3 linked regions of the Mus musculus genome follow. The protein of the gene in region 2 interacts with the protein of the main gene of each other region in a pairwise test. Links are inferred from orthologs where the notes say so. Each region holds a gene or a part of one and is shown on either strand. Other genes may lie near its edges. The genes, in order: Erh, Tasor2 and Nek6.

Region 1 (3,653 bases), on a different chromosome or scaffold from region 2:
TTTCTTTATTTTTCACTGAGACTTTCCCAGAGGCTATATGACTAACCTTGTCCCCACCCCACCCCCACAAAGGGTTAGTGCGCTCACTGCTTAAAAGCAGACTCGACAGTTTCAAGGACCGGAACCAACCTTAAATGGCAAAAATGTTTTCTATTTGTATTATCATAAAAATGTTTAAGTAAAAAAATGAAAGTAAAGGAGCAAAGGGCCACGGTGGCTTCAGAGTGACAAGATCATTCACGGTTCATGTCAGACATTCAATCTTGGCTTGAGTGTAACAACGTTGAAACAGGATCGCTATCATACAAAAGGTTCACTACAGCACGCTGTATGTACCTGTTCCAAGTCCACCCCCAGCCCCAATGCTTCCGACTCAATTACTTCCCAGCCTGTTGGGCCTGCCGACGGAGGAGCACGTAGATCTTCTCTTTGATCCAGTCTTTGTTATACGGCTGGTATGTCTGTGTATCAGCTCGGTAACTGAGAACAGAAAGTTACAGCGGTCAGTTAGAACTGCCCAGGGTGGCTTCAACCTGCACATTTTTACACATGAAGAGAACCAAAAGTGGACAATGCTGCTGTGGGTTTTTTGTTTTGTTTTTAAAGGTTTATTTATTTTAGGTATATGAGCACAGCTGCTCTCTTTCAGACGCACCAGAAGAGGGCATCCCATTACAGATGGTTGTGAGCCACCATGTGGTTGCTGGGAATTGAACTCACAGAACCTCTGGAAGAGCAGTCTTTACCACTGAGCCATGTCTCTAACCCAATGCTGCTGTTTTAACAAACAGATCTGTATCACCTAGTATGATCTGATGGTGATAAAAGCCAAGGCCCAGAACTCTGAAGCACTCAGTTAACACACTTTCTAACCAAAAACCTTGTGTTTTTTCCTACTACATAGCTTCATTTTTTATTGATCTATTTTTTATAATTCCTTTAGTGATTAATAGCAATAGCTAAACACTAGTACAAGGTTTAGGTTTGCTCAACTTATTCTAAGAAATCAACTAAGAAATCTCTAGTAGAATATTAATTCAATAATGATTTCCTGTTATTTAAGGAACTCATAGTTTTTAAGATTTGCTTATAAAAATAAAAACCAAAGGCCTACAGATGAAAATATCAGAAGAGCATCTCTTTTAGAAGGGAAGGGGAAGGCAGGAAGACTTGCAGCAGCAGCAGGTTTTCAGGGTCTGCAGTACACTGAGTCAGTCAAGGTTATCTTTATGAGAGTTGAACAGACACTTTCCAGCTGGCCTGAAACTCAACTCTATGTGGAGGAATACACACTAACGCAGCAGTACAAGGATGGAGAGACAGCTTAGGGAGTGGTTAAGAGCACTGGTTGCTCTCTATCTAGAGGACCTGGGTTTGATTCCCCAGCACCCACATGTAAAGATCACATGGGTCTGCTGTGACTCCAGTACCAGGGGATCCAATGTCTTCTGAAGGCACTGCATGTACACAGTATACAGACATATATGCAGACGAAAATACCTATACACAGAAAATATCAAACAAACAAAAATCTGTAGTATAACAAGGGAAGGAAAGCACCAGGTGTGGTGGTATAGAATCCCAGCACTTGGAGGCAGACAGATTTGAATTTGAGTCCAGCCTGGTCTACAGAGCAAGTTTCAGGACAGTCAGGGATACACAGTGGAACCCTATCTCAAACAAACTAACAAACCTAAAAGACAAACTGGGGGGAGGGTGCTCGAAAGATGGCTCCAGAGGACCTTGGGTTCAATTCCCAATACCCACACAACAGCTCATATCCATTTGTACGTAACTCCAGTTCCAGAGGATTTGACACCTCTCTTCTGGCCCCTGAGAGCATCAGAAATACATGTAGTTAACAGACATAAGATGCAGACAAGACAACCATACAAATAATAATAATAAAAATAATAAATTAAACAAGTGATAGTATGTTTTAAAATTAAAGTTAGCCAGGTGGTGGCACAGGCCTTTAATCCCAGCACTTGGGAAGCAGAGGCAGGTGAATCTCTAAGTCAAGGCCAGCCTGGTTTACTACAGGGTGAGTTCTAGGACAGCCAGGGCTAAACAGAGAAGCCCTGCCTCAACCCCCAACCCCACAAAGTTGTTACTAAGCACAGGATATTACTTTAAGTATCTGAATTAGCTCTCTTCATCTTTCTTTTTTTTTTTTTTAAAGATTTATTTATTGATTATATGTAAGTACACTGTAGCTGTCTTCAGGCACTCCAGAAGAGGGCGTCAGATCTTGTTACGGATGGTTGTGAGCCACCATGTGGTTGCTGGGATTTGAACTCCTGGCCTTTGGAAGAGCAGTCGGGTGCTCTTACCCACTGAGCCATCTCACCAGCCCCTCTCTTCATCTTTCTAAAAAATATTCCTGTAAGTAGCTACAATTATGTTTAAAAATAAAAAGGAAGTAAGAAAATCAAGGGTGAACGTGAAGCAACCTAATAGCCAAGTGGTGCTGGGCAAGATTCATTTCCCTCAGATTATAAATCTTGTCACCCACTATACACAGTACAGCTCAACATCCAGGCATCAGAGCCCTCACCAGGATCTACTAAGCTAAAAAGCTACACTATTATGATTCACAGCACTGAAGACTGAAATGGGGCTTCGTGCCTGGTAAGCAGGCAGTTTACCCTGAGCTATACACACTCAAGTCTACACTAAGTTGTCTAGCCTTAAACTAAACTTTCCATCCTCCTGCCTCACCCTCTCAATTAGCTGAAATTATAAGCCTGTACCCCCCGCCCCCATGGGGCCAATTTCCAATAAGGAAAATAAACTCCAAATAAGGAATGCTAAATAAACTCCAAATAAGGAATGCTCTATATTACCAACACCAATTTTTTCTGCAGTCAGGCCAGAGGTCGTTTACTACAGCGCATAGACTTCCCATTGTCTAACACGCCTAATCAAATATAAACAATCAGTTCTTTACTAATGCTGTTTTATGGAAATTTCCAACAAGTGAATAATTTCCTAGGATCACGCTCTGTTCATATGTTCTAATTAAATAAGTGCCAATCTAGTCTATAGTCTGGTTCAAGGTGTACCACTTTACCTCAGTACTACTGACAATAAAATGTAACAAGCACGTCAGAATCTGAAACCTCACACCAACGAAACAAAACAAGCCCTGTTTACACAGGTAGGACTAAATTAGACTTTAAGAACAGACCCTTGGTTTTAATCTGAAAACAATTACTTTAGGAAAAAGTAAAAGGGCTAAGAACCCAAGACAAGGACTATCCCACACAACGTGGAGCCCGTCTATCCTCACCTCACGCTAGCAACTGCCAAGCCCCTCATGCCTTCAGCTCTATAGTATCATTTTAACTTTTTATTTACATGTAAGTGAAACACTGGCAACTATATAAATGGACAAAAACCAGAAAAATACAAATTAAAAGATATAGTGGCTAATACTTACACCAGACAGCTGAGGTCTGCCAGATCGTCAATAAAATCAAACAACTGGCTGATATCGTATGTGATGGAAGGGCTGTTGGGATTCATCCTCTTCAGATGTTCTTCATACATTTTACAAACACCTGTGGGGGAGCACGAGAACGTAAGCAGCGCTGTATCTGCCGGAGGAAGATTGACCTGGAAAAGGACTGCTGGCTGGCCACTTTAATTTC
Region 2 (3,653 bases):
TTTCTTAAAGGTATCCTGGTGATGGCCTAAATGTTGCACACAGACTACAAATGACTGCATTTTCAATTCTTTATTTAAAAAAAAAAAAAAAAGACAACACAAAACAACAAAAAAAACCAAACTAGAAACTAGGTATAAAAGCCTAAGTATACAAATGGTTTTTTTCTTGTTTGTATTTTAAAGATTTAAGAAGTTTCTAATATCATAAATAAAGGATTTCTTCCTCAATTGACTTTTGTAGTGCAGCATTAAAAAACCCAAGTGTAAAAATTTGTCATTTACAAAAAATTTTCTTTATCTATGTAGTGTTTCTTACGTAACAGCAAATAACCATTACAGATTATACTTTCTACAATGTGGTAAAACCTCTCAAACATGCAGTTCTTAATCCTCTGACCATATGCAAAAACAGCTATTTCTCAAAATAGACTTAGCTTTAGCCACATAAACGTGAGGGTCTCAAGTTTTAATATTTAGATCAATTAATAGTTCTGAACGCATTATGTTTAGGTTGAAAATAATTTACAACAATATTCAGCATTATAACCCAAAGCTAATGCTTTGATGAGAAGCAAAACATTATTCAAATGACAGTTGTTTGTATGTATGTATTTGGAGTTTTTTAGACACAGGAAAAATATGAAGTTCTTGTTGATGTACTCCATGTATAGCCAACTCCCAAAATTACCTGTAGGAACACAAAAATGGTAAGAAAATGAGCAAGAAATACAACTGGGACAATAGGGGGGAAAGGCCTATGTGTCATATATCAGTTTACCAGGTCAACCCAGACTGGCTACAAGTGACATCACTGGACAAAGTTAAAGCTGGCTGATTAATCAAAGAGCAGTTTTTGATCAGCATTTTCCCCCCTCAGTGGCAGATACCTGCTGCCAATAACTCCAGTTTCCAAGGGGAGTTTTACAAAAAGTTCTTACCAATAACTACTCCTAAATGGAGCTGCTATCTTTTGTATATTTTCAGTGAAGTAGTTTACATCTGTAACAAGGATTCCATTATTTTCAAAGATTTCTGTGGAAACTGTGGGCTTGTCTGTAAAGGAAGGGGAAAAAAAATCTATGATAAAAGGCCAGGGTTTTTCATTTGTTCAAGGTAGCAGAATTCATTAAAGTGAGAAGAGAAATGAAGACTTCAGGGCAGGATGGGTAGAGGGAAGGGATATAAGCTACAACTGTACCAGCTTCAGAAAGCCAGACAGTCCACCTAAGACTTAGAAGATGTGATATAGTAAAACATGCATATGTAGGACCTGATAATTAGAAGAGTGTTAACTAGACAAACACTCCTTGGCAAGCATCCTCTGGACTTACAAGCATTTGTCAAAACACATGCTACTAGCTAAGGCATTCAATAACTAATTAGGAAGGATATTTCTACAGCTGTCCTGGGGTAGCATTAACTGAGTAGTGAAGATTACAATTTAGCTTATATTTACCTGTTAGGAAGACAGCAAACCTGGCACTGATATGTTGAATTTGCAAGTTTAACAAGCATTTAAAAATTTCAGCTTTTGTTGATGATGGAGAATCACAGTTGTGATAATGAAGTAAGTCAATGATATTTACACTCTGATATGACTTTAGAATTAGATTCTTTTTATGTGCAATTGAATCTACCCTGTAATATACAAAGAAATGTTAGTACCTTTTCTTGCTTAAAATTCATTTTAAATTGTGTATTTGAGGTTGAAAAGGTATACACGTGAATGTAGGTACCCTAAGAGTCCAGAAGAGGGTGTTTGCTTTCCTGGACCTAGTTTTAGAAGCAGTTTAGGCCATGCTGGGAACTGAATTTGGATCATCTCTCTTAACTATAGAACCATCTCTAACTGTCTTTCATTTTAAGTAGTTGTATTAAAACACTTGGTCAACAAGCCTGTGCTTTTTTCTTAATGATCTTGTATTTAATGTCCTGATTAGCTGCCTCTAAACATTATATAATAATTATATAATAATGACACCTTTGAAAATAGATTGTAACCTTGGGCCTCATTCCAAGGCCCAAGTCACAACCCATGTAGCTTCTGCCACTTCAACCATTTATGTTAGCAACTTCAAAGTTCTTAGGCAGTCATACAAATAGAACCACTTTCTCACTAGACTTAGTGGACGTTTCCACTTATTATATCAATGCTAGGGATATGTGGTGGAGTCAGTCAGCAAAGAACCTGCTGGGTAAGCATAAGGATGTGACCACAGAAAATGCCAGGTGTCATAGCACACACCCAGGGTGACAGGCTCACTGGCTAGCCAACCAGCCTGCTGCAATAGATGAGTTCCATGGTTAATGTGACCTCTCAAAACATACATTGGACAGTGACAGAAGACATCTGATGTAGGCCAAGCTCCATGCAACCTACACAAACACGGGCATATACCACACACATATAACAGATCATTGCTTTAGATTAAGGTGACTTGCCTCCTGTTAATCTGTTAAACCCTGACAACTCAATATATGACTAAGTACCCACAAAAAGCACTAGCACTAAGCTTACTGCTCACTATGTCTGCAGCTTATGGCAGCAGAGCCTGACTTAACTGTGGGTGTTAATCCTGACTCAAAATGTTGCTATAAATACTTTGCACTGAATGCCCTACTATAAAAACCAAATCCCAAAGCTAACCAGCAGACATAAACCTTAGGAATGTGACTCCCATGCTAACACTACTTTCTGGCTGTGGTGCTTGAATTACACTAAGCACAACAAACATTGGACCAGGGGCTCCTGCACCCTTCACACACACTGACCTGACGTCTTCCTTGAGATTTTTACTTTCTCTGTAGTGAAGCAGCCACTTCCATTTGCCATTTTCATTTAGTTTTTCTAGGATTTTGAGAATTTCCTTCAGTTGAACTGCAGAGTAAGTTAAGTATGAGAAGAAGTATCTTAGTTTTTGTTGCAAGGTCCATTGCCACTTATGAACAACATTTGTCTCCACTGGCAACATCAGTGACTCCACAAACTATTCTATCTGGTCATGCTATAATGGCAAAGATCATTTTATAACATGATCAGTGCACATTAATGCCATTAGGGAATAGAGATTGCCACCACTTTTTCAGATTCACTGCAGTACAGAACAGCATTCATCAGGAAGCCAAATGACCACAATACAAGCATGTAAGTGAGGAAAAGAACCTTCACTCACTGGGGAAGGAACTGAAATCTGAACAATTTAATAATTGGTCTAAATTTCTCTGCAAATTCTAGAAATATAGTTCCCAAATGAACCAGCTATTATACACCAAGGTTATATATGCAAAGCCTTGGTATCTAGCTTGTGTTACATGTTTATTGGACTCTGTTCACAATAGCTATGAACATAAATGTCCATCAATTGAATTACTATAGTAAAAGCATGTAGTGCAGCAATTGGCACAAATTAAGCCCTCAATATACAGTAAGTGATTTCTTTTTGATGAAACAGTATGTCACTGGAAGAAGAGAAACTGAACTAATTAGATTTCAAAATTAAAGACTAACCTAATGTTAAACTTTCTAGTATGACATCATCTGATACCACAAAGCCGCCTGATCGAAACAGCTCTTGGTAGGTTTCATTTACAATGTCTTCAGGGCTGTCCACTCCAGCAAAGACGACACTGGGGAAATGCTTTAGCTTCAGTAG
Region 3 (3,653 bases), on a different chromosome or scaffold from region 2:
CTCAATCCCCAGTGCCTGCTGGGAAGACAGAATCCACGTCGGCCATATCCAAACACATCTGGGAGTTCAGTGTGGGGCTTGAGCGTGGCCTGGCTTTACTGAGGACACACAGACAAGGTTCAGGGGAGGCAGGTGATGGGGCTCCACTTTAGGGGCTAGAGATGAGGACCCATGCAAGCAGGGACATGTGGGCCTTGAAGGAGAAGCAAGTATCAGAAGCTATGGGTGAGGGCTTTTCCACTTACAGGCTGTGCTGCCTTTGGCTGGACACTAAACCTCTCTGAGCTCAGTGTTTCAGCATGGCTGTGGCTGATGGCAGCACTCTCCAAGTGGAGCTGCCATGTCCCTGAAGCCAAACCTATCTATGGTAGCTCCACTCCTGAGACCTGGGATGGGGACAAGAAAGCTTAGGAATATCAGAGAACATGGCACTGAGTTTTAGGGGGTTAAAGTTGCTTAATCCCTCACAGAGCAGGCATGGAATCCTCACTATGGATAATGAAGACAACACCTGTCCAAAGGCTGTGTAGGCTGTGTGGAGACCATGACCTCCAGCCAGTGCCAGGCCTGGTAAACACAGTTCCTCTATAGTGGGTGTTCTCAGACAAGGCAGCCTTTCTAGGCCTCAGTTTCCCCTCCTATAGGAAATGGCAGCTGGAACCAAAGGATATGTCATTTAATGGGCCGCTACATATTTTGAATTAAGAATCTGTGGTTCTGTTTAACAGGGGCTGAAAAAATGGCGGTGATTAACAAGGGACCATAACCGCTAAAGGGAAACCTTGCTTTGCTGGTCGGCTAGAGCTGAGCACTTAGTAGTGATTAAGAAGAGACCAGCATCACTGAGGTGAAACCTTGGAAGTGTTTCCTGAAGATCAACACAGAGGACGTGTGTTCAGAGGCACCCAAGGTTGTACCTTGTGCTAGTAGCTGAACTTTGTAGTGTAAGAGTCACCCAGGTAGCTCCAAAGGGATGCAGGGGTCATGGAGAGCAGCCAAGGCTTGGCACGATGAGAGGACAGGAAAGGACAGTGGTGAAGGTACAGCCAGAGTAGCATCTAATGCCCCAGAACTGAAGGGGTCATGAAAAGAGTCTGAGCCTTAGCACCAAGAAGAGAGCCCAGGAGGCGCAATTGGTGCAATCCAGTTGCAACAGAAGACTCTACAGTTTGAGATGCCTGTACCATGGGAGAACCAGCAAGAGCAGCAGCAGCAGTGGAGTGGACCCAGTCAGAGCCTAGAAAACCATTTGTGTATGCTGCAGAGGGTGGAGCCTGAGAAGTGACCCAAGCAAGCCCCTGAAGGAGTCCAGAAGACCCTGTGTGGATTCCAGACATTGGACTTGAGTTATTTATATAGTTGGGGTTTGGTTTTACCTTGTTCAGACTGTACCCTGGTTTTTCCCCCCTTGAAGTAAGGAAGTATTTAGCTTGTTTATTATTTTACAGGAGCCCACAGTTAAAAGACTTTTAATTTTTAAAGAGTCTTGGAATTTTTAAAGAGTCTTGGAATTTTTAAAGAGACCAATTTTTTGTTTTGTTTTTTGCTTTTTTGAGACAGGGTTTCTCTGTGCAGTCCTGGATATCCTGGAACTCACTCTGTAGACCAGGCTGGCCTCGAACTCAGAAATCCCCCTGCCCCTGCTTCCCAAGTGTTGGGATTAAAGGTGTGTGCCACTGCTCGGCAAAGAGGCCAGCTTTTAAAGTGTTTGAATTTGTAAAGACTGTGGGGTTTCCTTTTTAAGTTTGTAAAGTGATTTCTATTATTATGATGACGTTGGTATTAATGTATGATCTTGAGGATGACTGAGAAAGGAAAGAAAGGCTGTGCGCTTAACAGTGATGTGCTTGTGTGTCGGGCTGACAAGGAGTCAATCTATGTCAACTTGGCACAAACTGGAGTCATCTGAGAGGAGGGAACCTCAACTAAGAAAGTGCCTCCATGAGATCAGGCTGTGGGCAAACCTGTAGGGCATCTTCTTAATTAGTGATTGATGTGGGAGGGCCCAGCCCACTGTGTGTTGGTTGGTGGTCCTGAGTGCTACAAGAAAGCAGACTGAGCCAGGCAGTGGTGGTGCATGCCTTTAATCCCAGCACTTGGGAGGTAGAGGCAGGTGGATTTCTGAGTTCGAGGCCAGCCTGGTCTACAAAGTGAGTTCCAGGACAGCCAGGGCTACACAGAGAAACCCTGTCTCAAAAAAACAAAACAAAAAACCAAACAAAACAAAAAAAGAAAGCAAGCAGGCTGAACAAGCCATGAAGAGCAGGCCAGTGAGCAGCACCCCTCCAAGGCCTCTGCATCAGCTCCTGCTTCCAGCTCCTGCCTCAGCCCTGTTTGAGTTCCTGTCCTGACTTTCTTCAGTGATGAACAAGGATGTGGAAGTGTACACTAAATAAGCCCTGCCCTGTCCAATTTGCTATTGGCCCTGGTGTTTCATCACAGCAATAGTAGCCCTAAAACAGAAATACAGTCTGACCTTTGGAGGTGTTCACTGTTCCTGTTCCTTCTGCTGAGAAAAGTGTCCCCAAGTGCTCTGGGCTGGAGCAGTGTGGCTGGCCCAAAGGGTCCCTTCTGTGTACCACAACCCGCACCCAGGCATCATCCTATACAGGCATCATTCTGCCTTGTTTGTGCATCCCCCTCAAGCCTGAAAAGAAGACAAGGGTACCCCACATAGGTGCTGAGGTCAGAGCCAGGCCAAGTTATCGAGCCTCCATAACACCCCCAGGCCCCGCCCATGCCCGTTGAGAGGAGGCTGCCCTGCTCCAGGCCCCTGACCTTGATCATCTGTGAGAGGTCACCCGCGTCAGCCAACTCCAGCACAATGTTCAGCTCATTGTCTTCGATGAAGGAGTCCAGATACTTGATGATATTCGGATGGTTCAGTTGCTGCACCAGAAGGGGGAGTGGCCAGCGATGAGTGGCGTGGCTCCAGTGCCGCCCCCCCACCCCCACGGCCCCTCCAGCCTCTGCTCAGGCTCAGCTCCTGGCTTCACTGAAGTGAAGCATTCCCTGCTGCTCTTTTGTTCTTTCTCAAAGTCTCAGAAGTCCCTTGGAAACTAAGTATCCTTCCCACCCTAAGCGCCTCTGACTGACTCTCTCACTCATGGACTCCAAGATGAGGAAGTGGGTGGAACCCAGGCAGGGTGGTAAAAATCAGCTCCATCTGGAAGAGGACCCTCCCAGGTGGTGACCTACATGGCTACTGGGTCTTGGGGAGCAAGAGAGGATTCCCAATACCACTACAGCGGGGTTGGCACTGCTCAGACAGCTGACAGCCAGGGTCTGACTGACAGCATGTTTTCTAAATGCTCCAGAAGTCTTTGAGCCCAGCTAGTCTGTGCCAGCAGGAAAAGCTGCTTTCTCAGGTCTAATGAGAATAATTGAGGCCAAAGATTTGAGTTGGTATGGCTTGTGCGAAGATCCCGTGTGAGGAGAGGCCAGCACGTCCCAGGGGATGCTAGGAGCCATGGGACTGGGCATAAGGTAAAGTGGAGGTAGGGACCTCGATACCCCGAAACTCTGAAAATACTCAACAGATCAGACTGCATTAGACCCTGGATTATGTATTTATCAGTATTGATCTGTCAGCAAACCTATGCACAAGACCTTTCTTGATGAGGTAATAAGGTGTGCTAGTATTGTCTCCCATT

The links.
Region 1: the proteins of Tasor2 (region 2) and Erh interact in binary tests that used the Homo sapiens proteins (3 or more experiments, as listed by UniProt). The two-hybrid records come from large-scale screens. The link is inferred for Mus musculus from reciprocal best matches to the Homo sapiens genes TASOR2 and ERH.
Region 3: the proteins of Tasor2 (region 2) and Nek6 interact in binary tests that used the Homo sapiens proteins (3 or more experiments, as listed by UniProt). The link is inferred for Mus musculus from reciprocal best matches to the Homo sapiens genes TASOR2 and NEK6.

The regions. Positions count from the first base shown.
Region 1 is NC_000078.6:80,634,048-80,637,700, forward strand, and holds part of Erh (enhancer of rudimentary homolog), read right to left. Parts: intron 3,564-3,653; coding exon 3,443-3,563; intron 481-3,442; coding exon 378-480; 3' UTR 1-377. UniProt on the Homo sapiens protein: May have a role in the cell cycle.
Region 2 is NC_000079.6:3,565,980-3,569,632, forward strand, and holds the end of Tasor2 (protein TASOR 2), read right to left. Parts: coding exon 3,509-3,653; intron 2,879-3,508; coding exon 2,773-2,878; intron 1,639-2,772; coding exon 1,457-1,638; intron 1,054-1,456; coding exon 939-1,053; intron 689-938; coding exon 685-688; 3' UTR 56-684; downstream 1-55.
Region 3 is NC_000068.7:38,560,117-38,563,769, reverse strand, and holds part of Nek6 (serine/threonine-protein kinase Nek6), read right to left. Parts: intron 2,890-3,653; coding exon 2,779-2,889; intron 1-2,778. UniProt on the Homo sapiens protein: Protein kinase which plays an important role in mitotic cell cycle progression. Required for chromosome segregation at metaphase-anaphase transition, robust mitotic spindle formation and cytokinesis.